Sus scrofa: one gene and its partner. The protein of the gene in region 2 binds, or shares a complex with, the protein of the main gene of each other region. Links are inferred from orthologs where the notes say so. Each region holds a gene or a part of one and is shown on either strand. Other genes may lie near its edges. The genes, in order: COQ4 and COQ7.

What was found.
Region 1: COQ7 (region 2) and COQ4 share a complex: the UniProt entries of both Homo sapiens proteins name them as parts of the multi-subunit COQ enzyme complex. The link is inferred for Sus scrofa from reciprocal best matches to the Homo sapiens genes COQ7 and COQ4.

The regions. Positions count from the first base shown.
Region 1 is NC_010443.5:268,763,115-268,766,928, reverse strand, and holds part of COQ4 (ubiquinone biosynthesis protein COQ4 homolog, mitochondrial), read right to left. Parts: intron 704-3,814; coding exon 574-703; intron 15-573; coding exon 1-14. UniProt on the Homo sapiens protein: Lyase that catalyzes the C1-decarboxylation of 4-hydroxy-3-methoxy-5-(all-trans-decaprenyl)benzoic acid into 2-methoxy-6-(all-trans-decaprenyl)phenol during ubiquinone biosynthesis.
Region 2 is NC_010445.4:26,364,508-26,369,075, reverse strand, and holds the start of COQ7 (5-demethoxyubiquinone hydroxylase, mitochondrial), read right to left. Parts: upstream 3,071-4,568; 5' UTR 3,006-3,070; coding exon 2,933-3,005; intron 2,821-2,932; exon of another isoform or gene 2,601-2,820; coding exon of another isoform or gene 2,597-2,600; intron 2,222-2,596; exon of another isoform or gene 2,197-2,221; intron 1-2,196. UniProt on the Homo sapiens protein: Catalyzes the hydroxylation of the 5-methoxy-2-methyl-3-(all-trans-polyprenyl)benzoquinone at the C6 position and participates in the biosynthesis of ubiquinone.

The DNA of each region.
Region 1 (3,814 bases), on a different chromosome or scaffold from region 2:
CACCACGATCTCCCCTGGTGGCAGGCGGGGGGGGAGGGGGCAGGAGGTGAGCAGGGCCAGAAGGAGAGGCCCGTGATGCTTAGGGCTGGGCACCGGGAGGCATCTGCTTCCCTCCAACCTCTACCGGGGGTCAGCAGTGCCCAGTCCCGGCCTGTGCTGGGACCAGGGGCACTTGGCTTGCGGTTGGGAAGAGGGTCCAAGAAAGAGCAGAAGGAAATACGGGCTGGAAAGGGCAGCTCGGGTCAGAATGCAGAGGATCCCAAAAGCCATGGGGAGGAGCCCAGGCCTTAGGGAACCAGTGAGGGCTTCAGAGCTTGGAGCTAATAACCAGGACACGGCAGGGAGCCCTGCTGTTAGGATGTAGCTACGGCCACGTAGGAGCCAGAGAGGCAGTGAGGATGCAGGGCAGAGGCACCCAGGTATTCAGGTAAAGCAAGAAACGGGGCACCGAGCCTGCTAATGGGTGGGTGGCTGAGACAGGTGAGCCCTGCCCTGGCCCTGCAGACAGACCCGGGAGCAGGCTAGCTGGAGCGCCCCACCCCGACCCGGATCCCCGCCACGGCTGGCACTCACCCGGGATGTTGGTGGGCATCCCCAGCAGAGTGTGGACCATGTCGTGCACTTCCCGGTACCGCTGGATCACGTACGCCAGCTCCTCGTCATCCACGAATCGCGTCGGTGCTCGGGTGTCTGGGGAGACCCTCTGACAACCATGAACCTCTCCTAGACCCCTTCTGGATGGTTCCCAGCATCCAACTGCCAGCCTCTCCTGGACCCTCTCACCCATGCCTACCAAATGCACATGGAACCCACCAAAAATCCCTGGAAACTCTTTCTGTCCACACATGCGGATGGGTGTATTCTCAGGCAGGAAGATGGTGAACTGGCATCCCCCCCACCCCGCCCCCAACTCACATATGATGTACACTGGCAATCTATGGCAAAGAAACCTCTGCGAGGGGGGGAGAGAGGGAATTATTTAATGGTATAGAATTTCAGTTTTATAAGATGAAAAGGCTCTGGAGACTGGTTTCACAGCAATGTGCTGTGTTAAGTAAGCTTAACCCTCCCGAACTGCCCATTTAGAAGTGGTTAAGATAGTAACCACTTTTAAAAACCCCAGTTAGAAATAAAACGGGGAACTTCCCTGATGACCTAGCCGGTTAAAGATCTGGTGTCGTTACTGCTTTTGCTTGGGTTGCTGCTATGGTGTGGATTCAATCCCTGGTCCAGGAACTTCTGCATGCCCGTGTATAGACCAAAATTAATAATAATAATAATAATAATGATAATAATAATAATAATGAAACAAAACTGATCAATAAAAAAGAAAATAAATTAAATTGGGGGAAAAAAAGGAGCACCCAAGGCCCCTAATTCTTTCTTCTTTTTAGGGCCACACCCACTGCATATGTAATTTCTCAGGCTAGGGGTCCAATCAGAGCTATAGCTGCCGGCCTACGCCACAGCCACAGCCACACAGGACCCAAGCCGCATCTGCGACCTACACCACAGCTCATGGCAACATCAGATCCTTAACCCACTGAGTGAGGCCAGGGATCGAACCCGTGTCCTCATGGACACTAGTCGGATTTGTTAACTGCTGAGCCACAACAGGAACTCCGCCCCTAATTCTTCAGATGAGCTGCTCCTTCCCAGCACCCTTATCTTCACCTTGACCATGCCTATCTTATCCTTTATGACCGGGCTGACGTGTCCCCTCTGCAGGGAGGCTGTCCCACCTTCAGACAGACCAGGTCCATGTTACGGTCCCTGCTGGCATCCTGTACTTTGTGTGGTGTTCAAGGCGATTGCATTGTGAGGTTTAGCACACGTGGCTGTCAGTGTCTCTCCTGCAGCCCTGCACTGTCCAGCAGCCCATCACGGCAGCCACTGAGGCTTAAAACAGCACAAATGCCAATTGAGGTGTGGTCTACATGTAAAATAATACACTGGATTTCGAAGACTTGGTATGGATAGAGCTATTGTGAAACCTTGGTAATTTAAAAACATTGGGGAGTTCCTGCTGTGGTACAGCTGGTTAAGGACCCCACATTGTCTCTGCAGTGGCTGGCGTCACTGCTGAGGTGCAGGTTTGACCCCTGTCCTGGTGCAGTGGGTTAAGGATTCACCGTTGCCAGATCTTTGGCTCAGATTTGATCCCTGGGTGCAGGAACTTCCATGTACTGTGGGGGCAGCTGGAAAAAAAAAACTGATTACAGGTTGAAATGATATTTAGTACATTGATTGGGTTAAACAAACTGTGTTACTAAAATTGTTTCTTTTTGCTTTTATTAAAGTGGCTAGCAGCCGATTTTAAACTACCTCTGAGGCTTGGATGCTACTGCAATGAACACTATGGCAGCAGCCTGTCAGAAGCACAGGACCAGGCTGACTGTTTTGCCCACTGTTGTATCTGAAGGGCCTTGGTGAATAAACACCTCTTTTTTTTAATGGCTGACAAGTGCCCATTGATCGAGGCCAGGGATTGAACCCGAAATCTCATAGCTCCTAGTCGGATTCATTTCTACTGCACCACGACGGGAACTCCCAGGGACTGAATGTGAGCCATAGATTTGACCTATGCCGCAGCTGCTGCAATGCTGTAACCTTTAATCCACTGTGCTGGGCTGGACCAAACCCACATCTTCACAACCTCCAGAGCTGCTGCAGTCAGGTTCTTAACCCACTGCCCACAGCAGGAACTCCTAAACATCTTTTTTTGTTTTGTTTGTTTTTGGAAGTTCCTGGGCCAGGGCCCGAACCTGTGCCACAGTAGTGACTGGAGCTGCTACAGTGACAATGCCAGATCCTTAACTCACTAAGCCACAAGAGAACTCCCATTATCCATCTATCTTTCTTTCCCTTGTTCTTTCTTTTTCTTGTTTTTTCTTTTTTTTTTTTTTTTTTGCTTTTTAGGGCCTTGCCTGAGGCACATGGGAATTCCCAGACTAGGGGTTGAATCACAGCCACGTCTGCAACCTACACGACAGCTCACGGCAACACCAGACCCTTAACCCACTGAGTGAGGCCAGGGATCGAACCTGCGTCCTCAGGGATACTAGTCGGATTGTTTCTGCTGCACCGCAACAGGAACTCCCCCATCACCTTGTAACTGCATGTGTAAACGGCGAGCAACCAATGCTTTTCTGACCCCAGGCAGGGACGACAACAGTCTTCCTCCTACCCACCCACCGCCTCTCTGAGTCTCAGAAGACCCCTGCAGAGTCGGGACAGCCTGGTTTTCCTACTGCTAAAGCCCAGCCTCAGCCTGTCCAAGGCCAAGGGATTTGATGCTTTTATTGTTTGGGGCTGCTGGCTCGTGCCATGGTCTGTGTGTGACGTTACTGGGTCCCTGGTCCCAATTTCCTCTACAGAGTTCTACCTGCTGTGAAGCTGAAGGTGATCAGTGATGGCCGACACTTCCCAAGTCCCTGCTCTGTGCCAGAATGAAGTCCTTTACACATATTGGCATCTTGCATCTTTCACCATCGAGGGGTAGATACTGTTAAGACCCTCAGGGACCAATCAGAAAAATGAGGCTCAGAGAGATAAGGCAGTGTACCCAAGATCGGACTCTGAGACAAGCCTGCTGAATCCCAAAGCCAGCAGCCTTAACATCCATTAGTCATCAGCCAGATAAGTGCCTGGGAAGATAAACATTAGGTTTCCTAATCTCAGAGAAGGGGTCTGAGGCTCAGAGGTCAAATGATTTGCCCAGGGCATTAAAGCTGGGGAGAGAGGCAGATCCTAACTCAGCCTTTTTTTTTTTTTCCTTTATAGGGCCATATGGAAGTTCCCAGGCGTGGGGTTG
Region 2 (4,568 bases):
GGGGTCTAATCAGAGCTCCAGCTGCCGGCCTACACCACAGCCACAGCAACGCCGGATCCTTAACCCACTGAGCGAGGCCAGGGATTGAACCCACATCCTCATGGTTCCTAGTCAGATTTGTTTCTGCTGCACCACGATGGGAACTCCAGAAACTTCAATTACTTTACAATGGCAGTGTATGTTAAATGTGGGGATTTTTTGGCCCCACCCATGCCCAAGGCATGCAGAAATTCCTGAGCTAGGGATGGCATCCACACTACAGCAGTCGGCAGTGACAACATGGATCCTTGAACCACTAAGCCACTTGGGAACGCCTTAAATGTTTTGCAATAACTTGGATAAAAGATACATATAATCCAAAGGTGTAAAGTAGAACATGAAAGCCCCCTTCTCACCTCCAACCCTCTGAAGTTACCATTACTGGACATTTTGTTATACATCCTTCCAGATGTGCATCTTTGATTTTTTTTGGCCCTCATACAGATTACACATTCAAAAAATTATTTCTGTTCAATAGAGTTGTAGAAGGAGGATTGCTATATCAATGGATATGCATTTATTAAAATGTCCACCAAAACTCTAATCCAAAAAGATGCATGTGGGAGTCCCCATCACGGCTCAGCGGTAATGAAGCCAACTAGTAACCATGAAGATGTGGGTTCGATCCCTGGCCTCACTCAGTGGGTTAAGGATCCGGTGGTACTCATGAGCTGCAGTGCAGGTTGCAGATGCAGCTCATATCTGGCATTGCTGTGGATGTGGTGTAGGCCGGCAGCTGCAGCCCCAATTAGACCCCTAGCCTGGGAAGTTCCATATACCACAGGTGTGGCCCTAAAAAGACAAAATATATACATACATATATATAAACATACACACATACATGCACATGCACCTCTATGTTCATAGCAGCACTATTTTCAACAGCTGAGACATGAAAAAACTCAATGTCCATTGCCAGAGGAATAGATAAAGATGTAGTACATATATACCATGGAATATTACTCAGCCATTAAAAAGTGAAATAATGCCATTTGCAGCAACATGAATGGATTTAGAGATTATCATGTAAGTGAAGTCAGAAAGAGAGGCAGATCATATGCTTGCACTTACATACAAAATCTAAAATGTGACACAAATGAACTTATTTAAGAAACAGACTCACAGACAGAAAACAAACCTATAGTTACCAAAGGGGAAAGGGGCTGGGGGAGGGATAAATTGGGAGTTTGGGATTAACATATACACTCTAGTATATATAAGACAGATAACCAATGATAACCTACTGTATAGCACAGGGAACTATATTCAATATTTTGTAATAACCTATAAGGGAAAAGAATCTGAAATATAGATACGTGTATAAGATATAGTTGGTTTACAGCGTTGTGTTAATTTCAGATATACAGCAAATTGAATCGCTTTGCTGTACACCGGAAACTAACACAACGCTGTAAACCAACTAAACTTCCAATTTTAAAAATTTCAAATTAAAAAAAACAGAAAATACATATCCTATCTCTAACACAGACCTTAGACAATTTGGAATTGCCATTTCTTACATATAAAATTAGGACCAATCAGGTTATTTTCTTTTTAAGGGAAAACACAATAATAAAACCTTTCTTACTGAGTTATCATGGAGACAAAATGAGATACAGGAAGCAAAGTAGCTTTATAAATGAAAAAGAATCACAACATTATAAATCAATACTTTTAAAAATGGAAAAAAAGAAGAAGAATTCTGTCATTGGCTCAACAACAGAGCATTAAAATTCATGTTCAACAATCCTCTGGGTTTTGCCTGCACTCACACACTTAAAAATAAAACTGAGGCTCACTGCTAGAAGCTCTCAAATGCATCATTTTATATTCGTGTTTTCCCAAAATGTGAAACACATATCAACGATGTGTGACTTCAAATGGTTTATGGGACGATCTTAAGTGGCTATGCACATGCATTAAATAACACTCATGTTATTTAGTTATTCTCTTCCAATCCTTTTGCTTTCATCAACGAGGCTGTAAAGGTGACATAACTTGAACACTTCCTAACGCTTGTTAACCTCCCATTCTTACCAGAAAGACAGGTTCAAGCCTTGGTAGGCAGCAGTATCTAATACAACAACTTGTGTTCAGCGTATTTATTTTTTTTACAAGTACTTTACTTGGGACGTGCGATCCTGGTTCTCCGCTTACCGTAAAGATAGGGTTTCCGTGAAATCATTTAATTTAAAAACAGAACACGGTTTAATTTTTTAAAAAGTGATAAAAAATACAAGTGGTACTGCGATAATGCAACCATCCTGAAGGTGGTAGACGAATGACTTAACTTCCAGAAAACGACCTCACAATTTTGAGGCCGCTGGGACGAAATGAGGAGAGGAGCCAGGATCCAAGCCCAAGTCTCTCTCGATGCTCCACCAATTTCGTGCTTCTCAAAATATGCAAATGCATACGAAGCATTCGAAGGGCTAGTTAAAATACAGACATGGCGACTCAGTAGGTCAGGCGAGGGACCTGAGAAACCGCATTTCTACCAAGCTCCCTTGGGGAGCTGGGAAGAAGCCGACGCTGCGGATTATGGGAATACACCCACCCATGGGACGCTAAATTTTCAAGGTCGCCAACTTTGCTCAGCCTGGAACGCCGACCACACCTGCAGTGACGTCAGAGAACAGGTGTGCAATTAGGTCATTCCCCCAACCCGCTAACCCGGAACCGGCACCACAGAGCGTCACATCAGAAAACCACTCTCTTCCCGCCCAGCGGGCCGGCGACACATTACAAGCCTAGCCCTGCTTTTCCGCTCGCGCTCGGTCGCAGTCCCGTGACGTATAAACGTCTACGCCGTGACCTCTCCGACCCAAACCTCAGGAGAAAAGTTCATTGCTCGCCAGCCCAGCGCGGGGCAGCCATCGCTCTCACACTTTACCTGAAAGGGGCCGCGGGGCCCCCGTGCGCGGAAGCCACAAGCAGCGAGCCGCCACTGCCCCGGCGTAGCTCATGGCCCCGCAACAGGGTACCCACTCCTTGAATAGTGAGCCCAACTTGCCCTCGGCACTGACTGATGACGTACAGCTGGCGTAAGGCAGATGCAGCCCGCCTCTGCGTAGGTGGAAACGCCCCTAAGCGCCCAGCTTCCACTCGATTGGTTGGGAGTGTCAAATGGAAAGATCCTATTGGATCTGACCATTATCAATCACTCAGGAGCCCGGTGAAGGGTTGCCATGGAGATGAGAACGCTAAATTGTTCTTTAGAAGATAGCGACAGGATTACTACCTAACCTCCGTTCCTGGGAAAGAGGACCGTGAGGGAATTATTTACTGGCATAGCCATCATATTTTATGCTTTACCAGCATAGGAGACTTTTCTCTATTTGTAGCCTTTATCCACTTCCAGAAATTACATTCTGGAATTCAGTTCACTGCATGGTATCTCCAGGTATTTTGGGGGTTGACAGACGATTTTAAATTTCTTCTTAGCCCTTTTCTCTATTTTTTAAATTTTCTACAAAGAACATTATTAATATTATTATATCCACTTTACTGTTAGTGTGAACGTATTGATGCAAATTGGTTTCTTGACGAGAGGGCTGGGGAGGTGAGATTTAGCAACGTATTTCATAATTTTTTTTTTTTTCTTTTGGCCGCCACACAGTATATTAGCGCTCCCGGGCCAGCGATCAGATCCGGGTGGCAGTGGCGACCTTTGTTGCAGCTGTGGTAATGCCAGGTCCTTTAACCCACTATGCCAGGCTGGGGATTGAACCTGAGTCCTGGCACTGCAGATATCAATACCGTTGAGCCACAGCAAGAACTCCACGTATTTCACACTTCTAAAAGTTATTCACCAGTTCCCTGGTGGTCTAGTTGTTGGGACTCCTGGCTCTCACCACTGCGGCCCAGGATTCAACTCCTGCTCTGGAACTGAAATCAAAACTATATCCGGTCTGTTAATGTAGACTCATCAATTGTAACAAACCGTAGCACTCTGGGGGAATGTGGCAGCAGAGGGTATATAGGAAATCTACTTTCCTCACTTTTGCTGTGAACCTAAAACTGCTCTAAGAAAATAAACTAAGAAAAAATTTTGGTGGACATTTTAATAAATGCATATCCATTGATATAGCAATCCTCCTTCTACAACTCTATTGAACAGAAATAATTTTTTGAATGTGTAATCTGTATGAGGGCCAAAAAAAATCAAAGATGCACATCTGGAAGGATGTATAACAAAATGTCCAGTAATGGTAACTTCAGAGGGTTGGAGGTGAGAAGGGGGCTTTCATGTTCTACTTTACACCTTTGGATTATATGTATCTTTTATCCAAGTTATTGCAAAACATTTAAGGCGTTCCCAAGTGGCTTAGTGGTTCAAGGATCCATGTTGTCACTGCCGACTGCTGTAGTGTGGATGCCATCCCTAGCTCAGGAATTTCTGCATGCCTTGGGCATGGGTGGGGCCAAAAAATCCCCACATTTAACATACACTGCCATTGTAAAGTAATTGAAGTTGCTAATTGTTTTCAAATTACTTTAATACAGTGCAGGAATTTAATAGTTTATGA